4 linked regions of the Nothobranchius furzeri genome follow. The protein of the gene in region 2 purifies or fractionates together with the protein of the main gene of each other region. This does not show direct contact. Links are inferred from orthologs where the notes say so. Each region holds a gene or a part of one and is shown on either strand. Other genes may lie near its edges.

Evidence for each region. Proteins that work in one complex are often made in the same cells at the same time.
Region 1: the proteins of vps50 (region 2) and vps52 purify together in Homo sapiens (affinity purification with mass spectrometry; 4 studies listed by BioGRID and IntAct, counting the BioPlex papers as one, with this or other methods). This does not show direct contact. The link is inferred for Nothobranchius furzeri from reciprocal best matches to the Homo sapiens genes VPS50 and VPS52.
Region 3: the proteins of vps50 (region 2) and eipr1 purify together in Homo sapiens (affinity purification with mass spectrometry; 4 studies listed by BioGRID and IntAct, counting the BioPlex papers as one, with this or other methods). This does not show direct contact. The link is inferred for Nothobranchius furzeri from reciprocal best matches to the Homo sapiens genes VPS50 and EIPR1.
Region 4: the proteins of vps50 (region 2) and vps51 purify together in Homo sapiens (affinity purification with mass spectrometry; 7 studies listed by BioGRID and IntAct, counting the BioPlex papers as one, with this or other methods). This does not show direct contact. The link is inferred for Nothobranchius furzeri from reciprocal best matches to the Homo sapiens genes VPS50 and VPS51.

Annotation. Positions count from the first base shown.
Region 1 is NC_091759.1:11,202,327-11,206,460, forward strand, and holds the start of vps52 (vacuolar protein sorting-associated protein 52 homolog), read left to right. Parts: upstream 1-1,333; 5' UTR 1,334-1,410; coding exon 1,411-1,506; intron 1,507-1,979; coding exon 1,980-2,061; intron 2,062-2,201; coding exon 2,202-2,254; intron 2,255-2,365; coding exon 2,366-2,441; intron 2,442-2,733; coding exon 2,734-2,801; intron 2,802-2,902; coding exon 2,903-3,078; intron 3,079-3,170; coding exon 3,171-3,321; intron 3,322-3,440; coding exon 3,441-3,541; intron 3,542-3,747; coding exon 3,748-3,880; intron 3,881-3,964; coding exon 3,965-4,020; intron 4,021-4,134. Other genes in the region: rps18 (small ribosomal subunit protein uS13), read right to left, coding at 243-329, 431-529, 1,102-1,104. UniProt on the Homo sapiens protein: Acts as a component of the GARP complex that is involved in retrograde transport from early and late endosomes to the trans-Golgi network (TGN).
Region 2 is NC_091751.1:27,569,738-27,573,842, reverse strand, and holds the start of vps50 (syndetin), read left to right. Parts: upstream 1-1,295; 5' UTR 1,296-1,417; coding exon 1,418-1,450; intron 1,451-1,937; coding exon 1,938-2,006; intron 2,007-4,105.
Region 3 is NC_091758.1:44,403,902-44,408,057, forward strand, and holds the start of eipr1 (EARP-interacting protein homolog), read right to left. Parts: upstream 2,802-4,156; 5' UTR 2,648-2,801; intron 2,389-2,647; exon of another isoform or gene 2,327-2,388; intron 2,224-2,326; exon of another isoform or gene 2,085-2,223; 5' UTR 2,054-2,084; coding exon 2,012-2,053; intron 1,902-2,011; coding exon 1,818-1,901; intron 1-1,817. Other genes in the region: trappc12 (trafficking protein particle complex subunit 12), read left to right, coding at 3,166-4,156. UniProt on the Homo sapiens protein: Acts as a component of endosomal retrieval machinery that is involved in protein transport from early endosomes to either recycling endosomes or the trans-Golgi network.
Region 4 is NC_091750.1:53,409,564-53,413,526, forward strand, and holds the start of vps51 (vacuolar protein sorting-associated protein 51 homolog), read left to right. Parts: upstream 1-1,162; 5' UTR 1,163-1,337; coding exon 1,338-1,523; intron 1,524-1,687; coding exon 1,688-1,817; intron 1,818-1,903; coding exon 1,904-2,050; intron 2,051-2,129; coding exon 2,130-2,349; intron 2,350-2,441; coding exon 2,442-3,336; intron 3,337-3,443; coding exon 3,444-3,659; intron 3,660-3,741; coding exon 3,742-3,825; intron 3,826-3,924; coding exon 3,925-3,963. UniProt on the Homo sapiens protein: Acts as a component of the GARP complex that is involved in retrograde transport from early and late endosomes to the trans-Golgi network (TGN).

The DNA.
Region 1 (4,134 bases), on a different chromosome or scaffold from region 2:
CTCTCCTCTAGTCAAGACACCTAAACGGCACCGACAACAGCAGCAGTAACAACTTTTACTTTAAACGACTGCAAACTACCCAGCTGTTTGTGACGAAAACTACTTCTGATCTCTCAAACCTTCACAGCACCACCACAGCCGATTTCCCCTCCACCATCTAAAAACTTGCTCTCCTGGAAGCAATTTTTTAAATGCACCACGGTTTTAGAATTGCAGAAACGGTGCAGGTTTTCTGTTCTCACCTCCTCCTCAGTCAGCTCTCCAGCCCTTTTGTTGAGGTCAATGTCGGCCTTCCTCAGGACTACATGGGCATAACGTCTGCCAACACCCTTAAACCAGACAGAATCCAGTCTCAATGGTAAAAATCAGGCAACACAAACATTGAGTCTATTAACAAGAAATTTAAGTGGTATTACGAGACATAACATACCTTGATGGCAGTGATGGCGAAGGCAATCTTCCTCCTACCATCAATGTTCGTGTTGAGAACACGAAGAATGTGCTGGAACTTCTCAGGGATGACCAGAGACTGAAAACAGCACAAGTAAAACAACAACGATCAAAAACAGTTTTAACATTCTGTACAGACCCAGTACTCCACTAAAATAACTAAAATAAACCATTAATACACTCATCTTTACAAACAGGCAACGAACTCAGTATGTTTAACAAAGCTGCTCAAGGAAAATAACTAGTCTACTGCAACTGTCATGCTTTTGGCTCCTTTGAGGCTCATTAGTATGGCTAGCTAAGCGCTAGTAGCTTTGAAAAATCCCTAAAACGTATAAGGATTACAGAACATAGGGGAAAATAACATAGCTTATTTGAGCTTTAACTGCTCCATTATACGTATAATTATGTTAAACAAAAATCAACTTGCGCTACTCCGCTTCTACCGGTCCCCACTGTCTGCTAGCATTGATGGCAAGTTACGTTGAAATAAGTCAAAATCAACAGACATAACATCAGCCATATCACTAGAACCAACCCATACAAGCTGCATATAAATTATACCGTGTTTATAAACAATGAACAAACAAGCACAACGAAGGATGAACGTGGATTTCAAATCTACTCTGGTTTAAGATATACCATACTGACCATCTTGGAAGTAGGTTCCGTGCAAAGAGGAAGGCGCTTGTTTCTCGCGAGATTTTGGATCAGTTTTTGCCGGAAAATGATCCTTCATTTAAAAATGTCCGATAAGCAACTGGGTTTGCTAAACAAGTACATAAATTGCTAAAATACGTGATGCTAAAAAAATGTTTGATATCGTTATTGTACGTATTTATATCAAGCGACCTGAAATTTGAGATCACGTTTTTTTATTTCAAAACAGAATAAACATTTCGAGCTTCAGTAAGCGGAACTTTCGTTTGTTGTGCTTACGTTAGCATAAATTTCGCAGCCATGGCGGATGCTGTTTTGGGTTTTGTTGGAGCTGGTTCTGATGTAAATACAGGAGGAAACTCAACACAAAATGTCATGGCGTACCTACAAGACGAGGTGACATTTCATTATTATTAGTAGTGCGGGTCTGATTTGAAGAAACAACGTATTCAGCTCGTTAAAGTCTGTTGACAACTAATCATTTGATGAATCGTCATGAACCATGTCCCTTATCTCAAATGTTATTAATTTCTTTATCAATCTTCACCTGTAATTTGCTATAAATCTAAAGTTTGTCAAGTTTGTATGTGTAAGGTCTTAACCAGGAAATACAGTACCCATTAATTGTATGAAACTGTCGCATTTTGATAAAAATTAAAGTTATATTTATAAGAAACAGGAAAAGCAACTTTATTATGAGCTATGTTCATGAATATCTTGTATATTTTCTCGTTTCCAGTTTTTTTCAATCAGATTGTTGTGCAAAACAAAAAATCTTATGTAATAAAATAAATAGAAGTTGGAGTCCCCTCTCAAGTATTTGAATTTATTTTTATTATATGTGTGATTCTGTTTGTTTCTTTTTGCAGAAGACCGATGGAGACATCACCAACCTGAGCCTGGGAGAGCTGGACATCACCACCGATGAGTTCATCTTAGATGAAGTGGACAGTAAGGGCGCAGTTGCACTCAAGCTTTACTCATACACATCTGTTTTAGAACTTTCATGTCTGCTACTTCCCATCTAGCCTTGGGTTTCTGCAATATTCTTTTTTATTTTATTTTATTTTTTCATTTTTATTCTTTTATAGTTCATATTCAGGCCAACCTGGAAGATGATCTTGTGAAGGAGGCACTCAAAACGGTAAGTCCTGTCATGTCAGTTAATTGTACTTCACTACCAATCCATGAACGATTTGCTGTCACATTTCCTATGATATACTACTAATATGCGTCCTCTTCTGTTCATTTCTAGGGTGTTGACCTCCGTCAGTATTCCAAGCAAGTGGAGGTGGAGCTGCGGAAGATTGAACAGGCATCAATCAAAGACTGTATCCTTCACAGCTCATAATTTACATGTCTTGATATTTTATCTGTCCTCACAGAGCTTCCTGCTTTTTCTTTATGTATGTGTCTGAGTGGCAGGGTCCCTCTTCACATGCAGTTTTTATTTTATCCAACATATTCAAAGTCATACTCAAATGTTTGTTTACATTCTGAGGTTAAAAAGTTGTTTTAAAGAAATAATTTGATGGAAGTCAGTCATACTTGCATGCTATTTTCTGCAGCCAGAAACCTAAATGAACTCATTCTATGTGGTTTCCCTGAACCTTCGCCTCGTAGACATTAAGGAGAGTCAGAACATTGCTTCTCTGCACAACCAGATTACAGCCTGTGACTCTATTTTAGAGGTGAGGCAGGATTTCTTCATACTTTACCCTCAGAAACGTTTGGCTCCACTGTCCAGAAAAACCTAAATCGGGGTAAGTAATGTTTTTTTCCCCCCTTTCAGCGTATGGAGGGGATGCTGAGCGGCTTCCAGAGCGACCTGTCCTCCATCAGCAGCGAGATCCAGACCCTGCAGCAGCAGTCTGTCAGCATGAATGTCCGTCTGAAGAACAGGCAGGCCGTTCGCAGCCACCTGAGCCAGCTGGTGGATGAACTGGTGGTGCCTGGAGCCATGATCTCGTACGTTTAACAGCTTCTGATTATTTGTAACAATGCTGTAGGAAATGTCACGTGTTGATGTCTTGTTGCTGAAGCTTTTTGGATCGTTCCAGCACCATCCTGGAAAGCCCGGTGACGGAGCAGGAGTTCCTTGAGCAGCTTCACGAGCTTAACTCCAAAATCAACTTTGCAAAAGAGCTGAGCTTCAGGGAGACGCTGGCCTGCTCCGACATCCAGGACATCGTTGATCGCCTCAAAGTCAAGGTGAATCACAGAAACCGCTGTTGGAATTAACAATAATAATAATAATAATAATCACTGAAGGGTCACAGAAGTTCATGTTCTGAGTTTAAATGACACTAGAATCACTTTTCCTTCCTTAGGCAGTGTCAAAGATCAGAGAGTTTATTCTACAGAAGATCTACTCCTTTAGAAAACCGATGACCAACTATCAGATCCCACAAAACACTTTGCTAAAATACAGGTGAGCCTTCGGTAAATGGAACGTTTTGTGGACCGTTTAGTTCCTGACGCAGTTTGACGTGGATTAAATCCATTAAAAGTTTCTAATTCCAGCCTAACCTTTGGAATTTGGAAGGAACTGTGAACACGTTTTTATATTTCTAATTTGTGAAATTAAAAAAAGATTCAACCAGAATTACATTATTGCCTGTTTTTGTTCTGTTGTAGATTTTTTTATCAGTTCCTTTTGGCCAATGAGAGAACCGTTGCTAAGGAGATCAGAGATGAGTATGTAGACACCATGAGCAAGATTTACTACAGTTACTTTAAGTCCTACAGCAGCAGACTTCTCAAAGTTCAGGTCGGTGGTTTAGTATTCACATTTTCCGTTTAGTTGAAAGTATTTTGTGTTTTATGTGACCCGATGTTCTTTGTCCTGCTGCAGTATGAGGAGGTAGCCGATAAAGATGACCTGATGGGGGTGGAGGACACCGCCAAGAAAGATATCCTTTAAAGCTCCTGTTTGCCTCTTCATCCATGACCTGATGATGTCACTTGTTTATGTTAAACAAAACAAAAATGTAAATGAATAAAAAACAGCATCCAGCGAGACAG
Region 2 (4,105 bases):
AGCTTTTATTCTGAAAGGAACCGTTGCTTGGTTGGTAAAAACAACAGATTTTTCCCAGCTTGGTGGTTTTCAGCTTAAAAAGTGAAGTACAGATGGCCGGTCCAATACTCCGCTTAGCATGCGTTGAACTCAGTGAGATCTTGAGAACTGAACTTAAGATGGCGTTGGAACTGTTTTATTAATCTGGATGTTTTGAATTCTGGTCGAATCAAAGCTGGCAGATTTATAAACACCACAGAGACTATGCCATGCTTCAGACTAGGAAGGTTCTGATTGGATCAGCAACAACAATGTGTCATGCGGTTGTTTACCTTACGTGTGTCAGTGTGTCTAGTGAACTAGAATAAGTCATATTACTTCTTAAAAACATATTAATCATGACATTGTGATTTCACAGATCGGTCACATTGTATTATTGACTAATAGTTGTTTTGATTAGCTTTATTAAAAATAGAGTTCTTTGATTTAATAAAAGAAAAGAGTCTCTTCATTTTCTGTCTTCTTTTGCTGGAAAGTAAACAGTTTAGAAGCAAATGCATGACCTTGAGGCTGTCTCATGCACCCTGGCGCTGTGTCAAAGGCAACTGTGGATAGAGGTTAAATAACCTTGGAGGAATAGCTTCTTCATCACGTTACATTGGCGAGCGCCTGGTGGCCAGACTTTCAACTATGGAGCCTGTCCCTAAGACGAATAAAGACGTGGGTCTCCCTTCCCATGGGTGCACCACTCATGGGAGGGGGCAAAGAGTCAGGTGCATTGTGTGATGGATGGTAGCTGAAGGTGGGAAACTTGGCGGTCTGATCCTCGGCTACAGGAGCTCTTGGTACGTGAGTCTGAGTTGGTAGGTGAGCCCAGATAAGCGTAAAATAATGGATGGATGGATGGATGGATGGACAATGACCAAAGTTCTCACATATCGATGGTGGCTTGTACTCACACAGATTTAGTTCTTAGAAATTAGGGATCACTTTAAATAATTTAACTACCAATTTTTCATTTAATTCGACTCAGGTTATAATTGTGTTTAACACAAAAAGTCAGCAGACATCTCAGGCATCTCCTAGGTCTCCTTAGGATTGTTATTATACCACCATCCTGTGGTGTTTAACAGTATTACACAAATTAAGGTGGTATAATAATGTTTAATTCCGCAATCATGACTTTGTTTAATAAAATAATTTTTTTCTGTCTGTAAATTTTGAATTTTATCCATAAGAAGTTTTAACAGGTAAGAAAAAGCAACATACACGTAAAACCACACTTCCCATGATGCTTCACAATTTTCCCTAGTTCCTGTTGTCACGTGACAGGCAACTATGGCTTCCTTCTCGCAGTGACAGAGGGTCACTATTGAAAACAAGGCAAAAATTAAAGTTGTAGCCTTTTATTTACCCCTTCACACCAGTAGGATTTACGATGCAGAAGATAAAGTCTCTTATGGCCCGTCAGGTGAGCAAGGCAGGTTCTTAATAAGCGACCAGCTGGCCGTTTGTGTCTGACAGCTGCAGGTAGCATGATAGCTAATGAAGCTAACAGCTAATTTGACAGCTCATCGTATTGCTCCTTAACGGCCACAGTCATGAGGAGAAAACTTAATCTTCTATCTGCTACATCACAGCTATGACGCATTTGTTTGGCGTATAAGTACATTTTTTATTTGCACGGAGGCGCTTTGTAATAGGTGTGCATCAGATAACTGTGCACAATGAGAACTGGCCGGTGAGGGAAGTTCTCAGCTTGCACGAGCAGTAAGGTTAGACCCACCGGTTTATTGGACCCCGGCTTTTAAAAATCTGTCCGCCAGTTCCACTTTTTGCCAAATGCTGCTGTTTGCTAAGAATAATAAGCTGTCTGACAACGGGAGCGAGTGACATCACGGTACAGGGTTATTTGATGTTTGTGACGTGATTCTGATCGGTGTTTTTGTTGGTGTCAGGGTCTGAAAAGTCCCCAAGAGAGTATGGCAGACCTGAGTCCTGTGGAGAACCTGAGGATCCCGAGCAAGGTAATCTTCATGTACAAGCTGAGACTGGTGGCTGAAGAGCATTCATTGTCAGTGTTATTGTTTTGGGTGGGGGGATGGAGTGGAGCTTTATTGACATCAGAAATTCAAAACTTATGGAATCTATGGTATCGTGTCTGGATATTATAATGCTAACAATACATCAGTTCCAACTAAATGTGTTTTGGCAAGTGTGTTGTTTTCCTTGTCTTTAGCTGTTGTATCAATTTATCATTTATGTCATAATGTCTTAAATTTACAATCAATGCTAGGCCTGTCACTATTATTGCTTTCTAAAACGAGTGTAAATATCCAGGTGGATGGCTCGTGGATGAGTCTGTGAATGTTAAGTGACAGTGTGATGTAGATCTGTTCGCATTTTCTAATTCTTGAGTTTCACCGTCTATTTTCTATCAGAAGCTAACGCTGGAGATAGGTGTAGGAGACTATCTTCATGTACAGCCTGCATGAAAAACTCAGAGTGACTGGTTATAAACAGAAATAAGATTTTAAAAATGGCTTTTCTGTGGTCTCTAGCAAGAATAAGTGCCTTGTATGTAGTATTCTGGGAAATAAAGTTCTGGTGCTTGTGTTTGAGGAACTAGAAGTGAGCCATTTTCAGAGGAGGGCTTCAGACGACAGGATTTAGAGTCTTGTTTCCTGATATTTGACCATCTCTCCTCTGATTTGCTAACATCAATGTGACTCTACCACTGACTCTGCATGCTCTGCAACATTGATGCTCTATCTCCATACATAACACAAGCCTGGAGGGGTTCTGCTGGGTGGTGGAGTTGTTAATGCTAACGGTTAGCTTTTGCTTCTGCTAGCCGAGACTTTCTCTTCTGTTTTCTGGATGCTAAACCAACAACAACCTTCCCCGTGTACAGCTAATGCAGGAGAGAGGTGTTGGAGACTGTTTTATGTTTAGCCTGCATTAAAAACTCTGAGTGATGGATTATAATCCAACACAATAATTAAAAAACTGTTTTCAGTGAAAGAGAACTTTAAAAAGCAGAAGAAGAAGAAGAAGAAGAAGAAGAAGACCAAAATGAATTGACAGTTTTTATGTCAGTTTTTCTGGTGTTATGCTTTCTTTACATGTAAATTAGTCATATGTTCACATTGTTCTCAGACAGTTGTGTAGGAAATCATACAGCTCATGTTTGTATAACCTAGGAACATGTAGCATCACAGATGGAGGGAAATAAAATCTCCACACTGTATTTTCTTGTTCTGACAGGTTTAAAACTGCCACGCTTTCTTACAGGAACTGTTAGTCATACTTAAGTTGATCAAATGAAGTTTGTTGAGCTCTGACAGAGCAAAGCCGCAGAGTGGCTCCATGAAGTGAGGAACCACCTCATACCTCAGTGCACCGCTAGCTTCCCACTCTGACTTTTAACTTCTGTGCAACGTGACTTAGTACAGTTTGCATGCTGACAAACTTTATTCGTTCACATGGATGTGTGAAATCAGTTCAGCTGATGGAAGCAAACATCTGATTTCTCTTATAGCTTTTATTTAGCTTTGCTTGGTCTGAATGGTCTATTTATTCTGGGATCTTCTGATGTTGTTCCACATTGTTTGTTGATCTTACAACTGTTGGTACTTAAAGGGATTTGCTCCATTGTCAGGTAGTTTATGATGGTTAAAGGGGAACAAGGCAGTTTTTACATGATTTTAGCATCCCCTATATGAAACTAGGATTGGGACAACATTACATTTAACTTGTTACATGTTTTGTAACTGTGACTTTTGTTTTGTAACACGTAACTTTTGTTTTGTAACATATAACTTTCCATTTTGTAACGGGTAAGTTTACTTTTGTAGCATGTAATTCTTATTTTGCAACATGTGACTTTTGTACGTAACATGTAACTTTTATTTTGTAACTTGCAGAAAAAAATCAGTGTACAAGTTTCAAATCACAACTTTCATAACACAAATCTTAGTCTACAGTTACAAAACTTGAAAACATTTTGTCGAAATTCTAGCTTGCTTCCAACAGGAATTGTCTTTGACAGTGTAAAGGATGAGTAGTTTACATCTTACTTATGAACCATAAAATGTGAGATTCCATAGAAATATGAAATATCATT
Region 3 (4,156 bases), on a different chromosome or scaffold from region 2:
TTTAGGTAAAATCTGTTGTTTTTTAGACATAATCTTAATGTTCATGGTTACAGTAATTATAACAATTAGGATATTGACTTTAAGTTCAACTATGACAATATATAATTTCCCAAAGTAAAACTAAAAAGAAGTACAGGGATCACGCATCTAATACTAGAAATGAGACAGTGTTCTGATGAGATGTGAATGAGAACTTCAAACCTAAGAAGATGGAACTAGAGCACGCAGCATGTCTTTAAGGACTTGTCTTCGCTTTGGTCAGGGTGAAATCTATCCAGAGCAAGTTTCCAACACCAGAGTAGAAAAAATATCCCTTCTTCTCTCTGTCGCATCATCTGACTTTCTGCTGGCCTCCTTCATAGACCCTTCTGTGACTGCCACCAAATCAAACATGGATTCATTAGTAAATAGGTCTTGTTTCAAGTCCTACTCTATGTTTAAACTGTCTGTCCCATACTGGTGGATTAAAGGGGACATTTGTCCTTTGCTGAACAGCTTGCTTCTGATGAAGTGTGATGAACAGATCTTCTCTTCATTGGTGGTCGTCGTTTTTCTGATACGACTGATCCACAGTTCAAAGAGCAGGAAATATGTCATAAAAGGGTGTGTTTTATTCTGTACAGATAGATTAAGGTATTTTTCTCCCTCTGAAACATGTAGACGGCACGTTTTTTACTATCTGCAGTATTTGTAATAGAGTTTTTTTATGCTTAACCTAAAGTATTTCTATAAAAATGTATTTATCTGAGTTAAATAAGCTCTGATACATCACCTGCTGTTGAGAATGATTTTCTACTTTTTGGAGCTCATCCAATAGTTTAAAAAATGCTTTAGTAGGTAAGATCCTGGAAACACACACACACACACACACACACACACACACACACACACACACACACACTGAATCGAACAACATAAACAGAAAATCAAGTGATCTGTATTCTTCAGTTGATTCCAAACTCCATGCATGGTGTTCTTATTGGGGGAAAGCATTTAGGTGACTGTGTCTGACTAGAAAAGCACCTGAAACTAGAAAAACATTCATGTGTTCACCTGACTCTAGTAGGTTTGGGTCATATCTAATTTTCTCTGGTAATACATATCATAATATGTTGGATTAAACAAACTAAGTGTTTTATTGAGATGTGTCATCATACTGCAACGCACATAGTTTATTAGGGAAAGGAGAAATGTGCAGAGGGTTTGTGCAGAAATTGATACTACAATCAAACACAATGAAAGATAAAATATGCTCATTTTCCACAAGTACTTCTCTGCACAATATTTCTTATTTTATTTATTATATGCTCTGTTTGATTGTGCAAATTATTTACATTCATTATATGTTGATTTTATACTCTTGAGTTTTATTGGCGGGAAAAGAAGTAATCCTTCCATTGTACAGGAATACATGATTCCTTAATGTGCATATGAAAAAAAACTTTTAATTAATTTCAAGTTAAATGTTTACACAAATACATGCCACTAAATGCAAGCTGTACTTATGTTAAAAGTCAAATAATAATTTTACTGGTTCTAGATTGATTTCATCAAGCAATCTCTGTATTTTATGGATTTGAATATTAGGCCAGTCTTAGTTTATACAAAGACATTGTGTTCTATGTGGAGTTTTTATTAGGTTGTAATCAATAACCATCAATAATGATGACTGGTTTATATTATGTGCTGGTGAACAAAACTAAAATGAAAAAGGTGTACTACATGTGAATACACATACCAATAAAGTTTCAACGAAGGTATAGAACGTGTGCTTGAGATCAAACTGTATATGTTTAGAAGTGAACAAGTGTTCTTACCTGGTTGTCAAATTTAAGTGACTGTGTCCCCACGAGAAAGCGGATAGCATCAGTCTCAGCTGTTTGGGCAGTAAGTGCACGTGCCTGCAGAAAAACAAAACGTGACAGGAACATATTTAAATAATGAACCGCAGAAGAGAGCATAGCTGAGGAGAGTAATGAATGGAGTAACAAGAGAGGACTCCACAGCCTACCTGGAACTCCAGACCATAAATGACAGGAGCGTCGTCTTCCATTCTTCACTTTGTTTCAGCCTTCAGTTCTATCCTTTAAAATTAAAATAAAAAAATAAATAAAACACCCCGAAACCCTTTAAGTTGCTGTTTTTGTGAAACGTAGTAGTGTTAAAAACAAGAAACAGTAGCATCACTTCCGCGATTTAAAAAAATGCAAGAGAAAAGAACGTACACTCTGGTTGAAATACGTAACAGCGGATTTGAAACGTAAGGATGGGTTTGAAATTTACGTAAAAGGCCGTGAAGAATACCATATAGTCACATCCGGGCAATTGTACACTGTTTCCCTACGCGGCGCATGCGCATTGCTTTTTTGTTCGTCCAGCTGCAGTAAGGTAAGAGATTAGCGATTTTTAATGTTTGTATTTCTTCTTAAAATGTGTTGTTTGTTCTATTTTGACTATACGTGTGACGTGTCCCATTCGTTTTGAATTATTAGTAGTTATTTTTGTAGTGTGACAGCTGCTATTTTACGCCCTGTAACGCCACACAGCTACGTAGCATTAGCATCATAGCCTCCTAGCATCAAATAGCAGTCCTGAGCAACATAGCTTCATCTATGTCGCGTGAAATAGTAAAAATATTCAAACTCACCTTATCGCTGTAGCTGTGATACAATGTTAACGGTGCATGCGTGTAATTACAGGTGTTTGAAAGTAGTGACAGGAAGGGGATGCGTCCAACTTCCTGAAAATATGAAGCGCAATAAACAAAACGCAATTTTAACGATTTCATATCCAGACTTTGCGTATTCTAGTCAGGTAAACTGCCACTGCTCAAGTTATTCAGCAGACAGATACACACAGTTGAACGTTGCTGTCTAAGAAGGGAAAAAATAAGTGTTTTTATGTTATACGAGTTTATTCTAATCACATCCTCCCCTCAGTTAGTTTATTCAGAGTCACTCCTCACAACCACTATCAGAAACTTCAGACAGATTTCGAACATAGTAGACTGAATCAAGCAGTAACCAAAGTACACTTGAACATCATTTGTTGAAAAATAGAACACAATGCTGACCCTCAACCCAGAAATCAGTGTTTTGGAGATTCCAAATAAAACAATTCATCACTGACCTAACACATTTGTTGTTTTCTTTCATAAGCAGTAAGATGGATACAGGGGAGGGTAATGCCCAGCGGCCTATTACTTTGGGCATTACAGTGGAAGACTTCAGCAATGAAGCTTCTGTCCCGGAGACAGATACAACTAACACCATCCAGACCCCTCCCAAAGATGACATCCTGCTCCAACAGGACAGCATTGACCTGGGTGCAGGGGAATTCGTCACTCCACAAGAGGACAGCAGTGCCACACTTTCTGAGAGCCTGATGGATAGACTCAATGACCAGATGATGGAGAGTGTCATGATCTCTGACTCGCCCAATAACAGTGAGGAGGATGATGTGGGTCCTATTGACTCCTTCCTGGATGGTGGGCTGGAGGAGAATGGATCCTCAGGGAACAAAAAGGAAGAAAGTGAAATTGGACAGAATACAACTGAGATTAAAGTGCCAGTGGATCAAAAGGAGCAAGAATGTACCAAAGACGACATAAAAGAAGAGATTGACATAGAAGAGCAAATTCAAATAGTGGTTTCACCTCAGAGTGAAGCACATAGTCCTGTTGTTATCAAGAGTGAGGATCCAGAACATCAGTCACCCAAAGGGACTAGTCCTAAAGATGAGCCTGTGCCAGTGTGCACCATATTTAGCCAGGGCACACAGCCAAAGTCCCTGGCACCTGATGGCTTTCAGCCTACTCTGATCAAGTCCCCTAGTTTTACCACGGGGAGTGGTGGAGGCAGTGATGAAGCAGTGACTCCCAGTAAGATGACTGCCCCGCTGGTGTGCCAGCCCAGCCCAAGTCTTAGTAAGTTCTTTACTGATAACGGACAGGCCAATCCAGCCTCTGACTTCTTTGATTCCTTTACTGCCCCATCTTCCTTCATTTCCATCTCAAACCCTAACGCAGATGTGTCTCCCGCTTCCACCCCTGCACCCTTAAGCTTCACACCCGAGCACCAGCGCTCTTCTACTTCCTCCTCAATTTCCACCCCAGGAGGACTTTTGGACTCCGGAGCTCCTACGCCTGTCTCAGTGT
Region 4 (3,963 bases), on a different chromosome or scaffold from region 2:
GATCTCCCTGGTTCATCTCATTATACAAACAACAGAATGTTATTTTTCCATGCTTTAAGCCCAACTACTGTCTGTAAACTGCAGCAGGTCTGTGTGTTGTTGCTAACCTACACTATGCATGTCTCATTGTAGAATAGGCATTCCAGCATGATACACAGAGGATGTTGCACTGTTAATACTAACACACATTTTTTTCATCATCAGGCTGTTTTATATTGATTATGAACTTTTGAAAGAATATTTTTACTCTCTACATATTTCTTGTTTGTGTATATAACAGTGAAGAGTATGGTCAAATAGAACCCTGCCCTTTCAAGCTGCTACTCTGCAGAAGGTTAAAGTGCCTTTTTGTTTGTACTCACTTGGATGTGGTCAAAAATGTATTTTTTTTATTTATTTCCCACACAGTTAACTAACTAATGCATTATCCATTTCTACTGATGTTAAAAAGTGCATTGCAGTCTTATCATTTCTGCTGTTTAAGTATTTGATAGTAAAATCCAGAAATTTTCCCCTCATGATGTGTTTGTTACGCCACTACCTAAAGCCCAAGTACTGAATAATGAAGCCAAACCTCAATGTTATTCTGATTTCATGACTCAACTTTTCCTTCATCAGTATTTGTTTTGTTCACTCATACTTGTAGATTTATTTTACCATTAAATGAAATACTTTGTCACCTATATCAGATGCATTTGTTCATTTTATGTTGTTTGTAAGTAGTATGTATATGGTGGATTGAAATAAAATGAATTATAGTATGTCAATAGATCAATTAATGTGCAAACAAATGCAAGAGCGGGATTGAAATTATGTGTATTGATTGCTTTGAATTTTTCACTGAGAAAATAATATAAATCACAACAAAAATATACCTTTTCCTCAAAGCGCTGATCAGCAAAGAGAAAAACAACACAAATATCAGCGATATTAGTAACAATTGTTCATCTTTTTATTATGTGTAATTCAGTAAAGATTTCGTGTTTTTTGTTTAATACTTATGTTGATATTTAATGTTTTGATGAACAATAGCTGTACAAACGGGGAAAAAAGACCATAGCGGAAGTGAACTGCTGTCGCGCATGCGTATTAGTACTGCACGACCGATTACGCTGACTTTCGGAGAACGTTACCTTGGATTGGCTACAAACGCGGAAATAAGGCTAACAATCATCTGCTTTTATTTGAGAGAAAAATAGTCTTATTTTTCGCATATTCACGCCACAAATACTCGTTATTTAGTGCAGATAGTGGAGTTAAACTGACATAAGATATAATTGAAGATATAAGCTGTCGCCTGTGTCCTTGTTCCGTTTGTCAGCTGGCCGGAGTTCAGTATGGATGTCGACGCGGACGGCTCAGTGGCGATGTCGGAGGAGTCGGGGAGGAGGCGAAAGGTGCACGGCATGCTGAAGCTTTACTACGGGCTGAATGAAGAAGGAAAGGCCCCAGAGCAACCGGAGTCTCTGAATCCCTGCGACATCAACGGGCCGCATTTTGACCCGGAGCTGTACCTTAACAAGGTGCTGTGAGATATCAGCTGTTGGCTTTAAGTGTTGTCATGTTTTAGACATAGTCTGTGTGGCTGTAGTTAAAGAATTCCATATGATCATTGGGGATTTTATTTTATTTTGTATCCTGAATGTGAGTTATAAATGATCTTTGACTGATCTGTGTCCTATTACAGCTCAGAAAGGAGTGCTCTCTTGCTGAGTTGATGGACCAAGAGACCTGCATGGTGAAGCAGATCCGCTCTTTGGACAGCGACATGCAGACCCTGGTCTATGAAAACTACAATAAATTCATATCTGCTACAGGTAAGTGGAGCATCACACACACACACACATCTGCTTCAGTCATAACCTGGATGTGTGCAATCATGTTTTTATTTTATTTTTGCTAGACACCATAAGAAAGATGAAGAATGATTTCAAAAAGATGGAAGACGAAATGGACTGCCTGTCTACAAACATGGCGGCAATCACTGACTTTAGTGCTCGGATCAGCGGGACGCTCCAAGATCAGCATGCACAGATCACCAAACTCTCAGGTTAGACTGCAAATTGTCTTTTGGATTGTTCTTCAGAGACTTTGTTCATGCTTGTTCCTCTCGTCATGTTCCATGTTAGGGGTCCACATGCTGCTAAGGAAGCTTCAGTTTCTGTTTGAGCTGCCTGCGAGGTTGAACAAGTGTCTGGAGCTGCAGGCGTATGCTCAGGCAGTGAGCTTCCACCGGCGTGCACGCTGCGTGCTGCAGCAGTACAGCCATCTGCCCTCCTTCAAGGGAATTCAGGATGACTGTCACGCCATCATGGAGAAGCTCGCTCAGGAGCTTCGACAGAAATTCAGGTGCCAATTTCCTAACCCATTTGCAAAAAACTGATTTAATTATAAAGAGCTGCCTATGAGATCTCTGGCTTTCTTTTCTCCTGTGCACAAAGGGATGGCGGTACGAGTGCCAAAGATTTGTCTGAGTGTGTGGAGCTGCTCCTTCAATTGGACGAGCCTGCAGAGGAGCTCTGTGATAAATTCCTGAGCCATGCCCGGTCTCGACTCGAGTTAGATCTCCAGAGCCTAGAAGCAGAGATAAAACCCTACCCAGCTTCAAAGAAAGAAGCATCTACACGCAGATCCTCAGGTAACATGTCCTCTGGATCTCCGACTGATAACTCCCCTAAGATGAGCTCTCTGTCGTCTCCCACCTTGAACACAGACATCTTGGAGTTCATAGACAGAGGATGCAATGAATTTGTGAGCAGCTTATGTTTAGTGATTACATCCTATCAAGAACTGTTCATCAACCATGCTCAGACAGGGGAACTAGCTTCAAAGAACATCCTTCAGATGGCAAATGGTAAGCTGCACACCTTTGTGGATGATTTGACCACCCGGTATTTCTCACTCGTTGAGAGGAGGATACAGGAAGAGAAAGGGGTTAGTGATAACTCCCTCCTGGTCCGTGCACTCGACCGCTTCCACCGCAGGCTACAGGCTGTGTCCAAACTGCTGCCAGGCTCGGCGGTGCCCAACAGGGGGACAGAAATTGTCATAAGAGCAGCTACAGAGCGTGTGAAGCAGTACCTGTGTGCCCTGCAGAACTTCTACATGGACAGCCTGACGGATGTGAGACAGGCCTTGGCGACGCCTCGGCTCTCTGTGGCTGGAGGTGCAGCACATCTAGGTGGACCTGTCACGGGTAGAGATGCACCAGCTAGCCTACCAGAGCTGCTCTCTTCTTTGTCAGCTTCTATTCTCAACCAGATTAAGTCGGTGCTGGCGTCGGTTCACCTCTTCACAGCTAAGGACATCACGTTCTCCAATAAGCCGTACTTCAAGGTGAGTGTTCCCCTTTAAACCAGCCGGTTCGATAATTCTGTGCCTTGATTCTGCACTTTTGTGGATGTGGCTGCTATTTTTCTTTCTTTCTCTCCTCCTCCTCCCAGGGGGAATTCTGCAGCCAAGGTGTGCGCGAGAGTCTGGTGGTGAGCTTCATCAAGTTTGTGTGCCAGTCCTCTCGCAACTTTTGTGAAAGCGCGGGAGACAAAGGAGGTTCCACTCCTCCAGCCCTTCTGTTGCTGCTGTCCCGGCTCTGTTTGGACTTTGAAACGTCCACCATCTCCTACATCCTCACACTCACAGACGAACAGTTCCTTGTGCAGGTTTTACACCACCATTAACCAAAGCACTGTGCTTTTTTACTGTCCTGAATGGTTCTGCTCACGTTTCGTTTTTATCCTCCAGCACCACAGTCCCATAACACCGGTCACAGCTTTGTGCGCAGAAGCCAGAGAGGCGGCACAGAAACTACTCAATCATTATGTCAAGGTGGGTTTGTTTCTTTTCCTTTTTATGATTAACAAGTAAAACAGTTTAGAGTCTAGAGCCTTATGAGTGCCTAGTAATAATATGTCTTGTTTGGTCCAGGTTCAGGGTCTGATCATCTCCCAGATGTTAAGGAAGAGT